Arabidopsis thaliana: one gene and its partners. The protein of the gene in region 1 interacts with the protein of each later gene in a biochemical or structural test. Each region holds a gene or a part of one and is shown in the gene's direction. Other genes may lie near its edges.

Region 1 (4,844 bases):
TTCTTCCTTCTTCATGAGACTTGCCATGAGGGTATCTAGAGCAAGGTGGTTCATTTTCTTGAGAAGAGTCTTTCATTACCAGAACGCCTCAAGATCCGATCTTGGCACCAATCCTTTCAATTCTATCGCTTGGATGGTATCAGAGCTCATCGCTTTACTTTTACAGATCACTGTGATAACATCCACACTAGCTTTGTCCAAAAACGAGAGGCCTGTTTGGCCGATGAGGTTATGGATCACTGGCTACAACGTTGGATGTCTGCTCAATCTTATGTTACTATACGGTCGGTATCGTCAGCAAGATACTAGCCATGAAAATGCATTTAGCTTCGGCGATATTGAGCAGCAACAAAGAAGCAGGGAAGAGACCACCAGGTTACTAACAAAAATCTAGTTTTTTCAAGTTTGATCATAAAATGCAAAGATTTCTAGGAAAATGACTTATTTTTGTGTGTGTTTTAGGTGCTCGCATTTGATGAACAAATGCCGGACATCGCTGGAGCTATTCTTTGCGATATGGTTTGTGATAGGTAATGTATGGGTTTTTGATTCTCGGTTTGGTTCTTTCCACTATGCTCCAATCCTTCATGTCCTCTGCATCTCCCTACTCGCTTGGAACGCTCTCTGTTACTCCTTCCCATTTCTTCTCTTCCTCCTGCTCTGTTGTGTTGTACCTCTCGTTAGTAGCTTCCTCGGCTACAACATGAACGTTGGATCTTCGGAAAAAGGAGCTTCAGATGACCAGATCTCCAGTCTCCCAAGTTGGAAATACAAACTCATTGATGAAACTTCTGATTCTTCTCAAGCAAACAATGATCCGGTAAGCACTAATTTGAATTCTGAAATAGGTCAAATAGTCAGAAATCAATCTTGATATCAAAACTGAAACCCACCGGTTTCATTATTGCAGGAATGTTGTATATGTTTGGCAAAGTACAAAGAGAAAGAAGAAGTGAGAAAGCTTCCATGTTCGCATAGGTTTCACCTCAAATGCGTAGATCAATGGCTTCGTATCATCTCGTGTTGTCCTCTTTGCAAACAAGATCTCCCTAACTGAAAAATCAAAACAATACATGAGTCACAAGATTGAATCTCTGACCAAGTACCATATATGTGTTTTTTTTTTTTTCTGTTGCCGCCTAAACACGTTTACTTGTGTGAATGTCGTTATCATTCCTTTTTTTTTCTTGTGTACAAAGTAGCTCACCAGTAACTGTAATTTTACCTAAAAAAAAAGTTAAAAAACATGATCAATCTGTTGTTTTACCAGTAGAGTTTGTCCCTCTCTTACCATTAATCAAAGTTTTAATTGTTGGTTAATGTAACTAAGCTTATACTGGTTTTTGCTATAATATTTTTTCCAAAGACAATTTAAACCGAATTCAAACCCAGAGACCAAATCAGACCAAAGCAACAGTCAGAATCCGAATAACATGACACGCCGTCGTATAGGAACGATTATTGAAACGATGGTGTTTAAGACAGCGCATAAATGGACACATGCTCCACTAGACGACGACGTGTGAAAGTGAATGTAACAAGGAGTTTTATTACAACTGTATCAACATCGAGTAAAAATAAACAAAATTATTTATTTTTTAAATTTAAAAAGTATAAAAACGCCAACAAACAAAAATAATTTGGTCTTTTTCTTAGCATATTTAAAATTTTGCAATATATTCATTCTGCTTATAGAAAATCGTGTCGACCTTTTTTCTCTCACTTACCCAATAAGAGCTTTTTTCGCGTTTTCCACCGCAACCACCGTCACCTTCAACCGCCGGAGCCGCCGCAAGGAAGGCTCATCATCCGCCGTGGCGTAAGGCTTTTTCTTCTTCTCTTTCTCCCTTTTCTACGATTTCGCGGTCGGTCGCTTCCTCGTAATCTCGTGTGTTTATTCCGGGAAAATCGCGATGGGAAACAAGTTAAAATTTGAGATTGAGAATCAAGCAACTAATTTCTTCGCAAGCTGATAGATCCATGAGCTGATTACCAAGTTTATATAACGAGATTCATCGTTGTTGTATCTCTGAATCCGAACGATTTGGAATCTAAAACTCATTGGATCGCTTTTTCTCATATCCGTCATTTCTCCTTAGCTTAATCACTTCTCTGATTCATATCGCGATTAGATTCAGGTGTCGATCCTCAGAGGATTATATTTTCTGACGATTAATCCGTCTGGATAGTTTTATTATGTTCTTCATGATGCATTTTTTTTCCCCGCAAAATTCATGATGCATTTCTGACGTGAAATTGGGTGTTTTTGATTCCTCATTTTATCCTAGTTCATGTATTTTTTGGGGCTGTTTCTTAGATTTGGGTTTCGTGTTTTAGCTTAAAGATAGTTCCTAATCCATGAATACATTGGTTAATCTGGAAATGAATCTGGAGTTAAGATTAATGCATAAAGTTTACGACCGTTTATAATATGCGTCTCCTCTGTTTGTGTTTCATAGTATCTGGTGCTTTAGTCTAATTCAGATCTGATCTGAGAATGATGAATCTTGTTTGCTCCTGTCAATTCTTCTTTAACTGTTTTGCAATTTGATGAGCTAATAACTGACTATATCTCATTTCCTTCCCATCGCAGAATTTTTTGAGGTGTACAAAGCATTGCCTATTTGACGAACCAGGAAATGGTTAAAAGGTACTTATCTTGTTCAAATGCATATGTCTTTAGATTCTTCCAAGTGGTTCGAAAGTTCTTACATTTTATTGTTATTTAACAGGCATGGAGAGTTTTGATTTACAAGATATATCATGTCGCAGTGCATAGACGGTTTCAAGCATGTATGCTCCTCTTTTTTCCGGTGTTTTGATATCGATATTTACAAACAATCTGGAGGCCTTGGTGACCCTGAACTTCTTGCGAGAGAGACAGTTTGTATGCTCTCAACTTCTTTTCCATCTTATTTTAACTTCCATGCACTTTTTTTTTCCAGTTATATGTATGATTCAAAGGCTTGCCATTACTCTAGTTGATGCTCTCTGTTAAGAGGAATGCAAATCTTTCTTTCTGTGTTTTGATCATTGACTCGTTTGGGTGCAGTTAGCGTGAGTGAAATAGAGGCTCTCTATGAGCTGTTTAAGAAAATCAGCAGTGCTGTGATTGATGATGGGCTAATAAACAAGGTATGAAGGAAGGGCATCATTATATGTCTTTTATGCCACTCACTTATACTCCTCACGAATCATGCATATTGCTACGTCTTTTGGACATCCTTTTCTGATTTTCCTTGACCTGTCTTGTCGTTCAGGAAGAATTTCAGTTAGCCTTGTTCAAGACAAATAAAAAAGAGAGCTTGTTTGCAGACCGGGTATGTTCTTCTTTTTTAATCAAAAGACTTTGTTATCCATTTGCCAAGATCCTTTTTGAAAGATAACTTGACAGTACCAATCACAGGTATTCGATTTGTTTGACACAAAGCATAATGGAATACTGGGGTTTGAGGAGTTTGCGCGTGCTCTCTCTGTCTTTCATCCAAATGCTCCCATAGAAGACAAGATTGACTGTACGTCTTTGATCTTACAAAGTTGATCTGAGAAACCATCTATACAATTTATCTGATGTTGACATGCTACATGTAACCCATGAAATATCACTAACAGTTACCGGGAACATTGTTTTGCAGTTTCGTTTCAGCTATATGATCTTAAGCAGCAAGGTTTCATAGAGAGGCAAGAGGTGAAGCAAATGGTGGTGGCTACTCTTGCTGAGTCCGGCATGAACCTGTCAGACGAAATCATAGAGAGTATAATCGACAAGGTGTGGTTCCTTCCTACCCTGCTCGATACTATATTCTTGTTCCACTGTTGTATAGCCAACTCATGATAGCAGTTGAGAATAAAGTAAAGAGTGGTTTCTAAGTTTCTTCTTTCACAGACATTTGAGGAAGCTGATACAAAACATGACGGGAGGATCGATAAGGAAGAGTGGAGAACCCTTGTTCTCAGGCATCCTTCCCTTCTAAAGAATATGACTCTCCAGTATCTTAAGTGAGTTCCTAAACCAAGACTTATCCGAGGTTTAGGCAATGCAACTTCCAATTTTTTCTGTGTTATTATTAACACCGATCTCTGATATTGTGTGCAGGGATATAACAACTACATTTCCGAGCTTTGTGTTCCACTCGCAGGTGGAAGATACCTGAGAAAAACAATAGCATATTAGCAGAGGAGACAATTTGGGAATTGTGTTTGTTTTCTGATTATGTATCATGTCTATTTGTTTCAATCTCTCTGAACATTTTCAAGATTTTGTTGTTACTTGTGTGAATTAAAAGTAAAGAAAACAAATCTGTATTTTTGCTACTCCTGATTTTGATTGCTGATTTTCTCCTCGCATCTGTAGATATACTACTAACCTTGAGACATGAATCCTATTAATAAAGAGCAAACTGATGAAGTGATAATAGAGAGCAAAAAAGAGAGAACCCAACACCAAATGATCGGGTATGCTCTAGTCTGAATTCTGAAGTCAAAATTGAAATCACCGATTTGATCGAACCGGATGCAACATTACAACAATCGGATTTGTTAGTCTTGTGGTTGACTTTGTCAGTTAGAGTTGACAAAGTAATTAGCAAAGTTAGTGACGATTGTGTTCTGCATAAACACGTTTACTTTGAGGAATAAATTACTTACTCTTTCGGTCTTTCCTAATATATATGTTTTCCCTGTCTCAAAGATCTGAATAGGTATCAGAGCGCGTTGACAATCTCTTTTTTTGATCATCGATTTGTTCTCTCTTTCTTGGCTAAAAAGTTTCTATCTACACGACTCTCCATGGATTCAACAAGAAATTCAGCTTCTTCCAACTCCACGGGATGCTTTACGGATCA
Region 2 (4,420 bases), on another chromosome or scaffold:
TCAGAAGTTATTTATGGTCATATATATTATATCGTTAAATTTTGTCGTAAAAATGGGTTATATGGTCACATTAATCTTGCATGGGACCAAAAGTAACAAGCTAAATTAATAATGTATTCTTTTATTTTGTTTGTCAACAATTAATAATGTATTCAAAATCAGTAGATATTTTGATTGGAGCAACCTTTCGAACCAACGAAAGAAAAGGGGCAATTATATAACCATCCATTTTTATTGACAGAACCTTGATTTCGTAATTATTTAACGAGCTTCTTTCCTTCCTCCTTCTCTTTTTCCCCAACGAAAGAAGCTTCCATGAAACAGCATCAGAAAAAATCAAAATTAAAAACAAATGAAATCTTTCGTACATCACATTATTAACGCGGTAATTTATTTTTATTTTATTCCCGTACATGTCTTTTAATGGATTTATATATATTAAAAAAGATGTTGATTTGGTTTTATGTGAATACTGTAGTACTAATTTATGCCTACCAAAAAAAAATAGTACTAATTTATGTGTGGCTTGGATTTATATATATGTACAAATGGGCACAGCGTGACAGCGAAAATAGTAACGTACGATTTATCTAATCTTTAAAACGTTGTGTGTTTTGGATAAATTACAAAAATAATTAAAATTGATTTTATATTTTGTTGTACGCTGCGGTGGGTAGATCACGTCGTAGATTTACTATAAAAATTGACACTGCAAAATTTATCCTCTTTTTTTTGGTATTAAACTTTAACCAAAACTTCACAAGATTATAAAAGCCTTGCACTCTAACAATGCAATGCGATGATTTCTAAGTCGTCAAATGTTTAAGTCTGAGGAATTGGGACATAATTAGTGTGATTGTGGGTAGTGATCATACATGGAACTAATACATCTTTATAAAATTATACTGACTTTCCAACTTAGCTAAGTAAGAAAATAGTAACTATTAAAAAAAAACAATGAGATAATGTTAAATATTAATCAAATTTGTTTTTCTTTTTTATTTTGGGCAAAAGTTATTTTTTCAAGCGCACTGTTTGTACTTTATAATGTGAAACATATATTGAAAATAATCAATTGAAATCTTAAATGTAGTCATATTTCTTTTTTTCAAAAAGCATCAAATAGATCAATTTGCCCATAAGACTCGATTTATTTTTCCACGAATATGGGAAAAAACAACTGGAGATTTTTAAAAAGGAATGACATATGTTTTCCAAATGTATTAACTAATGATTCCAACATAAGCAAATATATTTTCTAAAAATAGTGAAATAAACAACTGTGAAATGTATACAAAAAGCATGAAATATATTTTCCCAAGTATTGTTTAAATTTGATAAATAATTCAAGTTATTTGGAACAGTGATGGAGTGGAAAAATAAACATAAGAATCATAATTAAAAATGAACGTAGAGTTTAGATAGTGATTTGAAAAGATTAAGGAAGATTAGGAAATGACACTAGTTATAGGACGATTCCAACCTTGAGCAGTGGGGCGGGAGTTGTAGTAACCTGTCAACCGCAATATATAGCCTGGTGCTCAAAATGAGACTTGAACTAATACTAATAAGGGGAATTTGGATGTTCAAAGGACTTAACCACGATTGATGACTAAACAAAGCAGTGGTTAGCTGAATTACTAACTAACTAGAGCTAGCTGCCTAGGCTAGTCGAAAGAACAATTCTCCGTTTTGAGTTGACCATAAAATAATAATATTCAACAATATTGGAGGAAACATGTTTATATGTTCTTGTAATAATAATATTATAGCAAATAGCCGAAGATACGACGAAGCGTATATGTGTGAAATGAGTATATTCTACAGCCTAAACCCTCGGAGATACCAAATCAACACGACAACAGCGACGGGACACCTGTATGGTTCTAATTCAACTTCTTGTCCACATCTTCATCTTCTTCTTCTTCTTTTTTTAATAGATATATTAAGAAAACAAAACAGAAAATCTCCCACGTCTTTACAAAGAAAATAAAGAAGAAGAAAATAAGGAAAAAGAATCTGATAGTAATTGACAAAAATACCCTCATCTCCTACCTCAAGACAGTAATATATATGTAACAACTCGATACAGAGCATGGCTTATCTCTTATCCGAATCCTCCCAATTTGTCTGTCTCTCTTTTGTTTTCTCTGCTAACAGATCTCTCTAAATATCTGTTACTTTTGTTCATATCTTTTTACTTTTCAAACTACTAATTTTCCTTTCGCTTCTTCTATTAATAACAACACTCTCTCTCTCAGACTTCTTTTCTTTTTTTTCTACGGCGTTGATTCATTCGCAATGACCTCAGTTTCTGTGTACCATAATTGACCTAGCAGATTCTGTTTTTAATGGTAGATTCTGACCCGGTGGAATTTCCGCCGGAGAACCGCCGTGGACAGCTCTTCGGCAAATACGAGGTCGGAAAATTGGTGGGATGCGGCGCCTTCGCGAAAGTGTACCACGGGAGGAGCACAGCGACGGGTCAGAGCGTTGCGATCAAAGTGGTGAGCAAGCAACGGCTGCAGAAAGGAGGACTCAATGGCAACATTCAGAGAGAGATCGCTATCATGCACCGTCTGCGCCACCCTTCTATCGTGCGCCTGTTCGAGGTCCTCGCCACCAAATCCAAGATCTTCTTCGTCATGGAATTCGCCAAGGGCGGTGAGCTATTCGCCAAAGTCTCCAAGGGCAGGTTCTGCGAGGATCTTAGCCGTCGTTATTTCCAGCAGCTCATCTCCGCCGTCGGATATTGCCACTCCCGCGGCATCTTTCACCGTGATCTCAAACCGGAGAATCTCCTCCTCGACGAGAAGCTCGATTTGAAGATCTCTGATTTCGGACTCAGCGCTCTTACCGATCAGATCCGACCCGACGGCCTCCTCCACACACTCTGTGGTACGCCGGCGTACGTGGCGCCTGAGGTTTTGGCGAAGAAAGGGTACGACGGTGCTAAAATCGACATATGGTCATGTGGAATCATACTGTTCGTCCTCAACGCCGGTTATCTCCCTTTCAACGACCATAATCTCATGGTTATGTACCGGAAAATCTACAAGGGAGAATTTCGCATTCCCAAGTGGACCTCACCGGATCTCCGGCGACTGCTGACTCGGCTTTTAGACACGAATCCGCAGACGAGGATCACTATCGAAGAGATCATCCACGATCCATGGTTCAAACAGGGCTACGACGATCGGATGTCTAAATTCCATCTAGAGGACTCCGATATGAAACTCCCGGCGGACGAGACCGACAGCGAGATGGGAGCAAGGAGGATGAACGCATTCGACATCATCTCAGGATCTCCAGGGTTCAATCTCTCCGGTCTTTTCGGAGACGCCAGAAAGTACGACCGAGTGGAACGGTTCGTGTCGGCGTGGACGGCGGAGAGGGTGGTGGAGAGGCTGGAGGAGATCGTGTCGGCGGAGAATCTGACGGTGGCGAAGAAGGAAACATGGGGGATGAAGATCGAGGGGCAAAAAGGTAACTTCGCAATGGTGGTTGAGATAAACCAGCTAACGGACGAGCTGGTTATGATAGAGGTGAGGAAGAGACAAAGAGCCGCTGCATCTGGACGAGATTTATGGACAGATACACTCAGGCCTTTCTTCGTCGAGCTTGTGCACGAATCAGACCAAACGGACCCAGAACCAACTCAAGTACATACGACGTCGTAGTTTAGGTATCTGTCAAATAAATTATCCAAATAATAATTAAAAAAAAATATCCCGGGTTATATGTAATTGCTTTTTTTTTTACCCGGAGAATATCTCTGACATAATTATTCAGGAAATTTCTCGACAAATCTTAATTTTTAGTTGGCAAGTATGTATCTTCTTGTTATGTAATCATAATTATATTTTATATAAATGAAAAATAAAATATAAAAAAATGTATTACTTGTTTTAAATGGCCACTATAATACATTAGTAACGTATCGTGGATGTGAAGTAATGCTATGTGTACAAGACACTCTAACTTAACCATTACTTAAGGATTAGTTAACTATTCAACATGATATTTAACATACATATAGATGTAATTTTTAACAACTCATAAAACACAGTCTTCTTCTGCTATTAATTTTGTCATTATGTAAAAAGAAGTGTCAAGATTTGAGCCATGAACTAACACAACTGATCTACTTTCACCTTTTTGATAAGTAAGAGGTTGTCCTTATCACATCATTGTAAAAATATACTATTAAAATAGATATATAGCTAGTGGACTTTATATAATCCTATCGCATGTGGCTGTGATATAAGATCATACACCAATAATTCTCATCAATCATTTTCTTTTCTTGGTATCCACATTGAATCCAATCATCCATAATCCATTAATTTCAGCTTCAGCAGTTATAATTACTGTAATCAACATATATATCACCTTTTCAATGCAATAATTGTAGGCTCCA
Region 3 (4,478 bases), 4.7 Mb from region 1:
GTACATTTATTTTTCATCGTTTGTAACGTTATAATAAACTATATACAGGTCCTAAACGAATTCACTCATGGGAGTCAAGAGAAAGTGAGCAAGACAGAGTTCAAAGAAGTGTTGTCGGACATTTTGTTGGGTATGGCTGCTGGTCTGAAACGTGATCCTATCGTCATCCTCAGGATGGACGGTGAGGATCTCTCGGAGTTTGTCCACGGCCCTGGATATGAAATCGAGAGCATTTCTGTTTTCTCAGAGCTCTCCAGTAGCAAGGACGCATCGCTCCGTGATTGTATCGTCAAAGCTCTCCAGTCTCTTTCTGTTGATCATGGAATGCCTCCTTCCAACGACCCATGGGTACCTATTTATTTTATTTTTATATATTTCTGTTAAGCTATGGATTTTCCTAATTTAACTTCAAATCTAAATTTATATGATTGATAAAATAAAGCATATAATATTAAGAACCGTTTGTTTTTGTATTTTTACCAAAACCGTAAAAATACTTTTCGGGTGTTTTTTTTTTGTTGTACAAAATATCAGAACGATACTTACATGGTGGGAGTACATATGATACGTAATATGTATCCAAGTTCGTATTTGATGTTATATATGTTGCTAGAGACAACTGAGTTTTGCCTAAAAAGCAAAGTCCTTGTAACAGGTGATGAGCAACATCGTAGAACCAATTGTTGACTCTTGTCTTGATGAAGAAGATAAAAGAGAGAAAAGCGCGTCTCAGGAGAGATTCTTGGAAGCATTCAAGAGAGTCGTGGAGAGTGTGGCTCAGCGTCTCAATGAACAGCCCGTGATCGTTGCTCACAGCGAAAACACCTTTGATGGGAGCGGTATCAGGAGGCTCTTGTCCAATAAATTCGAATTCGATAAGGTAAACTACCATACATATATATGTTATCTAGCTTTTATGCTAAAGGAAAACTTTTTAAATGATGGTAACGAGTGATGATGATCCGGAACGGTTTGGTCGCAGGCACTAAACGTTGCCATGGAGACGATTCCAAAAGACCGTCAGGGTAAGGTGTCTAAAGGATATCTACGAGCTGTGCTTGACACTGTTGCACCATCGGCCACTTTACCACCAATAGGCGCTGTGTCCCAGGTAAATAATGCCCCGTCTAAATTATTTTGTCTTTTAAATTGTTTATTTTGCCTTTGAATTTACATGTTACAATTATTTGTTAAACAAATGAAACCAGAATTAGTGTTTTAATCAAAAATTATTAGTGAATTTTTATTTTTATTTTTTGAACGGCATTGATTAGTTAAGTTTGTTTTTGTTTATAAGATGGATAATATGATAATGGAAGCGTTGAAGATGGTGAATGGAGATGATGGAAATGTGGTGAAGGAAGAAGAGTTTAAGAAAACAATGGCAGAGATATTGGGGAGTATAATGTTGCAGCTCGAGGGTAGTCCCATATCGGTTTCCTCTAACTCGGTGGTTCACGAGCCGCTCACCTCGGCTACCTTTCTGCCGTCAACTTCGACTGATACAGAGGAGCCTTCAAACTAATCATAGAAGGGAATAAGCAGCACTAGCAGCAACAAATGTTATATGGTTTTGACTTTTGAGTGTTTACCCCCAAAAGTTTTAGATTAATGAGGAAAACCGTCTTTACTTTCAGATGTATAAAATTGAAAGTTTGGGGTTTCCTCTTGTTGGTGTGGTGATTCTACTCATGCCTTTTTTTTTTTTTTTCTAATGACCATGGGATGCAATGTTTACTCTGTTTTTTAATTTCGTTAAAATTTGTTTACGTTTATGATGCTTGAATGGCTATGATGAAACATTTGAGTTATCTTTAAAAGTGTGAAATAAATATTCTGAAGTTAATTGAAGAATTTGAAAATTTGATTACAAGAGCTTGGCTAAAACTACAAGGAGACCAGATTAGTACAAAAACTTAGCTAAATTTAATTAATTACGGTCATTAGCACAAAAAAATAATTTGTTTTTATTATATTATTATTGGTAAGTGGAAACACAAAAGAGGACCAAAAGGTCCAAAAACGAATAAACTGTATCTCTCATTCGCCGGAGTTTCCAGCCGTTTCTTTCCGATTCTCGGATTTTTCCTGGGAATCAAACGCATCGCCGAGAATCGGAAGAGAGGGATAAGGTTATGGCTCCTCATGGAGATGGATTAAGTGACATCGAAGAACCTGAGGTCGATGCTCAATCGGAGATTCTTCGACCGATCTCCTCAGTCGTCTTCGTCATCGGTACTTTATGATTTATGAAGTTTCCGATTCGATCGATTTCTTCTTCGTCTTCTTACTTACTTTTTGTGTGTTTCTGACGGAGCTGCAGCTATGCAAGCGGAGGCTCTTCCTTTGGTCAACAAGTTCGGACTCTCTGAAACTACTGATTCGCCGTTAAGAGCTCTCCTTTTTTCGATTTTGCTTGTTTGGATTTGATCTCCATGAATCTCTCACTTCAAAGTTTACTTTTTTGCAGGCTTGGTAAAGGATTGCCCTGGGTTCTGTATCACGGCGTGCATAAAGATCTTCGAATCAATGTAGTTTGCCCCGGAAGAGATGCAGCTTTAGGTAAGCTTTGCACTCAATGCTCTCAAAGATATGATAATTAGCCTGTGAATCTCTCAGCATTTTAGTATAGTAGCTTTGGTTTCTCAAGTCGCTGCATTGTTTGGTATGAGGGAAAATGAATGCACTTTTTTTATGCTACTAACTGAGATTTCTCTCCAGGGATCGATAGTGTTGGAACTGTTCCAGCTTCTCTCATAACTTTTGCTTCCATCCAAGCATTAAAACCTGACATCATAATCAATGCCGGAACCTGCGGTGGCTTCAAGGTACAGTTCTTTTACTTCTCGTGTGCTCTGTCTTGACTTCCAGCATCCTTGCTAAGAACCACGTCCTCTCTTCTTTCTTTACTTGTGGTTTGGGTTTGATTTTGTTACTGCTCGTTTACTCAACTCTGAGATTTGAGTTGCATCATAAAAGATCTCTCTCTCTCTCCATATCTCTATTTTTATGTTGTGAAAGTTGGTTTATTTTCATGTAATGAAAGTGCTGATTGGCTGAACATTTGCAGGTCAAAGGAGCCAACATAGGCGATGTATTCCTTGTATCTGATGTTGTGTTTCATGATAGAAGAATACCAATTCCGGTAGGTTCATCTTCCTTTCTTTCTTTTTTCCATCTTTAGTGATGATTCCCTTTTTGCCAGTTCATCTTGCAAGTTCCTGAGCAATGTTTGTTTATCTCTCTAGATGTTTGATCTGTATGGAGTTGGTCTCCGTCAGGCATTCTCGACACCCAATCTCCTCAAGGAACTCAATTTGAAGGTATTTAATAGACTCAAGATGCTACTTACTCTTTTAACTATTTCAATTTTGACAAAATTGGGGTGGTTCAGATTGGCAGGTTATCTACTGGTGACTCGTTGGATATGTCCACGCAAGATGAAACATTGATCATTGCCAATGATGCTACGCTAAAGGACATGGAGGTAGTGTAATGTTAACAATTCTTATTACTGAATCTAACCAGAAAATCAATGAAACTGTTGTTTTGAAACTCTTTTGGCTCTGGATTCTTCAGGGTGCTGCCGTGGCGTATGTGGCTGATCTTCTGAAAATACCAGTCGTGTTCCTCAAAGCCGTGACCGATCTAGTGGACGGAGATAAACCTACAGCAGAAGAGTTCTTGCAGAACTTGACAGTTGTGACCGCTGCATTAGAGGGAACTGCTACTAAAGTGATCAACTTCATCAATGGGAGAAACCTTTCGGACCTTTAACTTCTGTTCTCTTCCTTTTTTATGGAGAGTGATTTTTTAAAATGCGTTCAACGTGCTTGTTGCAGTTTCACTGATTTCCAGTGATCATATTTCTCGTTAATAAATTTCAAGTTATAAGACGTTCTCTCCCTAGTGTTGCTTAAATTTTGGTAAAGAAACAATTTCAAAGATAACTTATCGACCTGAAAGACGTTAAATCCCTTGATAGGCAAAATATACAACACTGTAAAATTAATTCGTAACCGAGACACTTGGTGAAACCTCAAGACACATAAACGATGAAATCAGAGGTAAAGAAAAATTGAGCTATCTTTCCCAATTAGAATTTCCGTCAAGCTCATCGCAGGACATCGTTGGGGTATTTCTATCTTTTGAACTTATACTACTCCAGACGGTAGCCGGAGAACAAGCTGGCCTCCGAAAACGCTGTAAAGAAAAATGTTGAAACTTTTGAGATATATACAAAGAGCTAAATAGCTAAACTGTTGAAGTGAAGGACTAATGCGTACCTTTTGACGTAGTAGTAACAGAAATCTGCCAAGATGAAAGTTTGAACAATTTCTGAGATCAGAACCATTGATGGCCACAATCCATAACCCAATGCTACAAGCAACCGTCCCCGCGTGTCCACAACCTATTTTCAGCACATTAGACAATGTATTCAGCTATTCAAAATCGACTTTTAAGGTACTAATCCAATC

Evidence for each region. Proteins that work in one complex are often made in the same cells at the same time.
Region 2: the proteins of CBL3 (region 1) and SR1 form a complex in vitro, tested with the Arabidopsis thaliana proteins (one study listed by BioGRID).
Region 3: the proteins of CBL3 (region 1) and MTN1 form a complex in vitro, tested with the Arabidopsis thaliana proteins (one study listed by BioGRID).

The regions. Positions count from the first base shown.
Region 1 is NC_003075.7:13,407,918-13,412,761, reverse strand, and holds CBL3 (calcineurin B-like 3), read left to right. Parts: upstream 1-1,691; 5' UTR 1,692-2,138; intron 2,139-2,593; 5' UTR 2,594-2,650; intron 2,651-2,732; 5' UTR 2,733-2,763; coding exon 2,764-2,887; intron 2,888-3,052; coding exon 3,053-3,135; intron 3,136-3,260; coding exon 3,261-3,320; intron 3,321-3,394; coding exon 3,395-3,515; intron 3,516-3,635; coding exon 3,636-3,769; intron 3,770-3,886; coding exon 3,887-3,999; intron 4,000-4,096; coding exon 4,097-4,154; 3' UTR 4,155-4,340; downstream 4,341-4,844. Other genes in the region: AT4G26580 (RING/U-box superfamily protein), read left to right, coding at 1-375, 463-820, 911-1,057; CBL7 (calcineurin B-like protein 7), read left to right, coding at 4,789-4,844. UniProt on the Arabidopsis thaliana protein: Acts as a calcium sensor. CBL proteins interact with CIPK serine-threonine protein kinases. Binds calcium ions. Binding of a CBL protein to the regulatory NAF domain of a CIPK protein lead to the activation of the kinase in a calcium-dependent manner.
Region 2 is NC_003076.8:312,683-317,102, reverse strand, and holds SR1 (serine/threonine protein kinase 1), read left to right. Parts: upstream 1-1,697; 5' UTR 1,698-2,351; coding exon 2,352-3,680; 3' UTR 3,681-3,913; downstream 3,914-4,420. UniProt on the Arabidopsis thaliana protein: CIPK serine-threonine protein kinases interact with CBL proteins. Binding of a CBL protein to the regulatory NAF domain of CIPK protein lead to the activation of the kinase in a calcium-dependent manner.
Region 3 is NC_003075.7:18,112,654-18,117,131, reverse strand, and holds MTN1 (methylthioadenosine nucleosidase 1), read left to right. Parts: upstream 1-1,955; 5' UTR 1,956-2,135; coding exon 2,136-2,235; intron 2,236-2,323; coding exon 2,324-2,387; intron 2,388-2,470; coding exon 2,471-2,562; intron 2,563-2,721; coding exon 2,722-2,828; intron 2,829-3,070; coding exon 3,071-3,145; intron 3,146-3,248; coding exon 3,249-3,323; intron 3,324-3,394; coding exon 3,395-3,487; intron 3,488-3,579; coding exon 3,580-3,777; 3' UTR 3,778-3,971; downstream 3,972-4,478. Other genes in the region: AT4G38810 (Calcium-binding EF-hand family protein), read left to right, coding at 49-348, 656-880, 983-1,111, 1,298-1,525; AT4G38790 (ER lumen protein retaining receptor family protein), read right to left, coding at 4,155-4,203, 4,287-4,411. UniProt on the Arabidopsis thaliana protein: Enzyme of the methionine cycle that catalyzes the irreversible cleavage of the glycosidic bond in 5'-methylthioadenosine (MTA) to adenine and 5'-methylthioribose.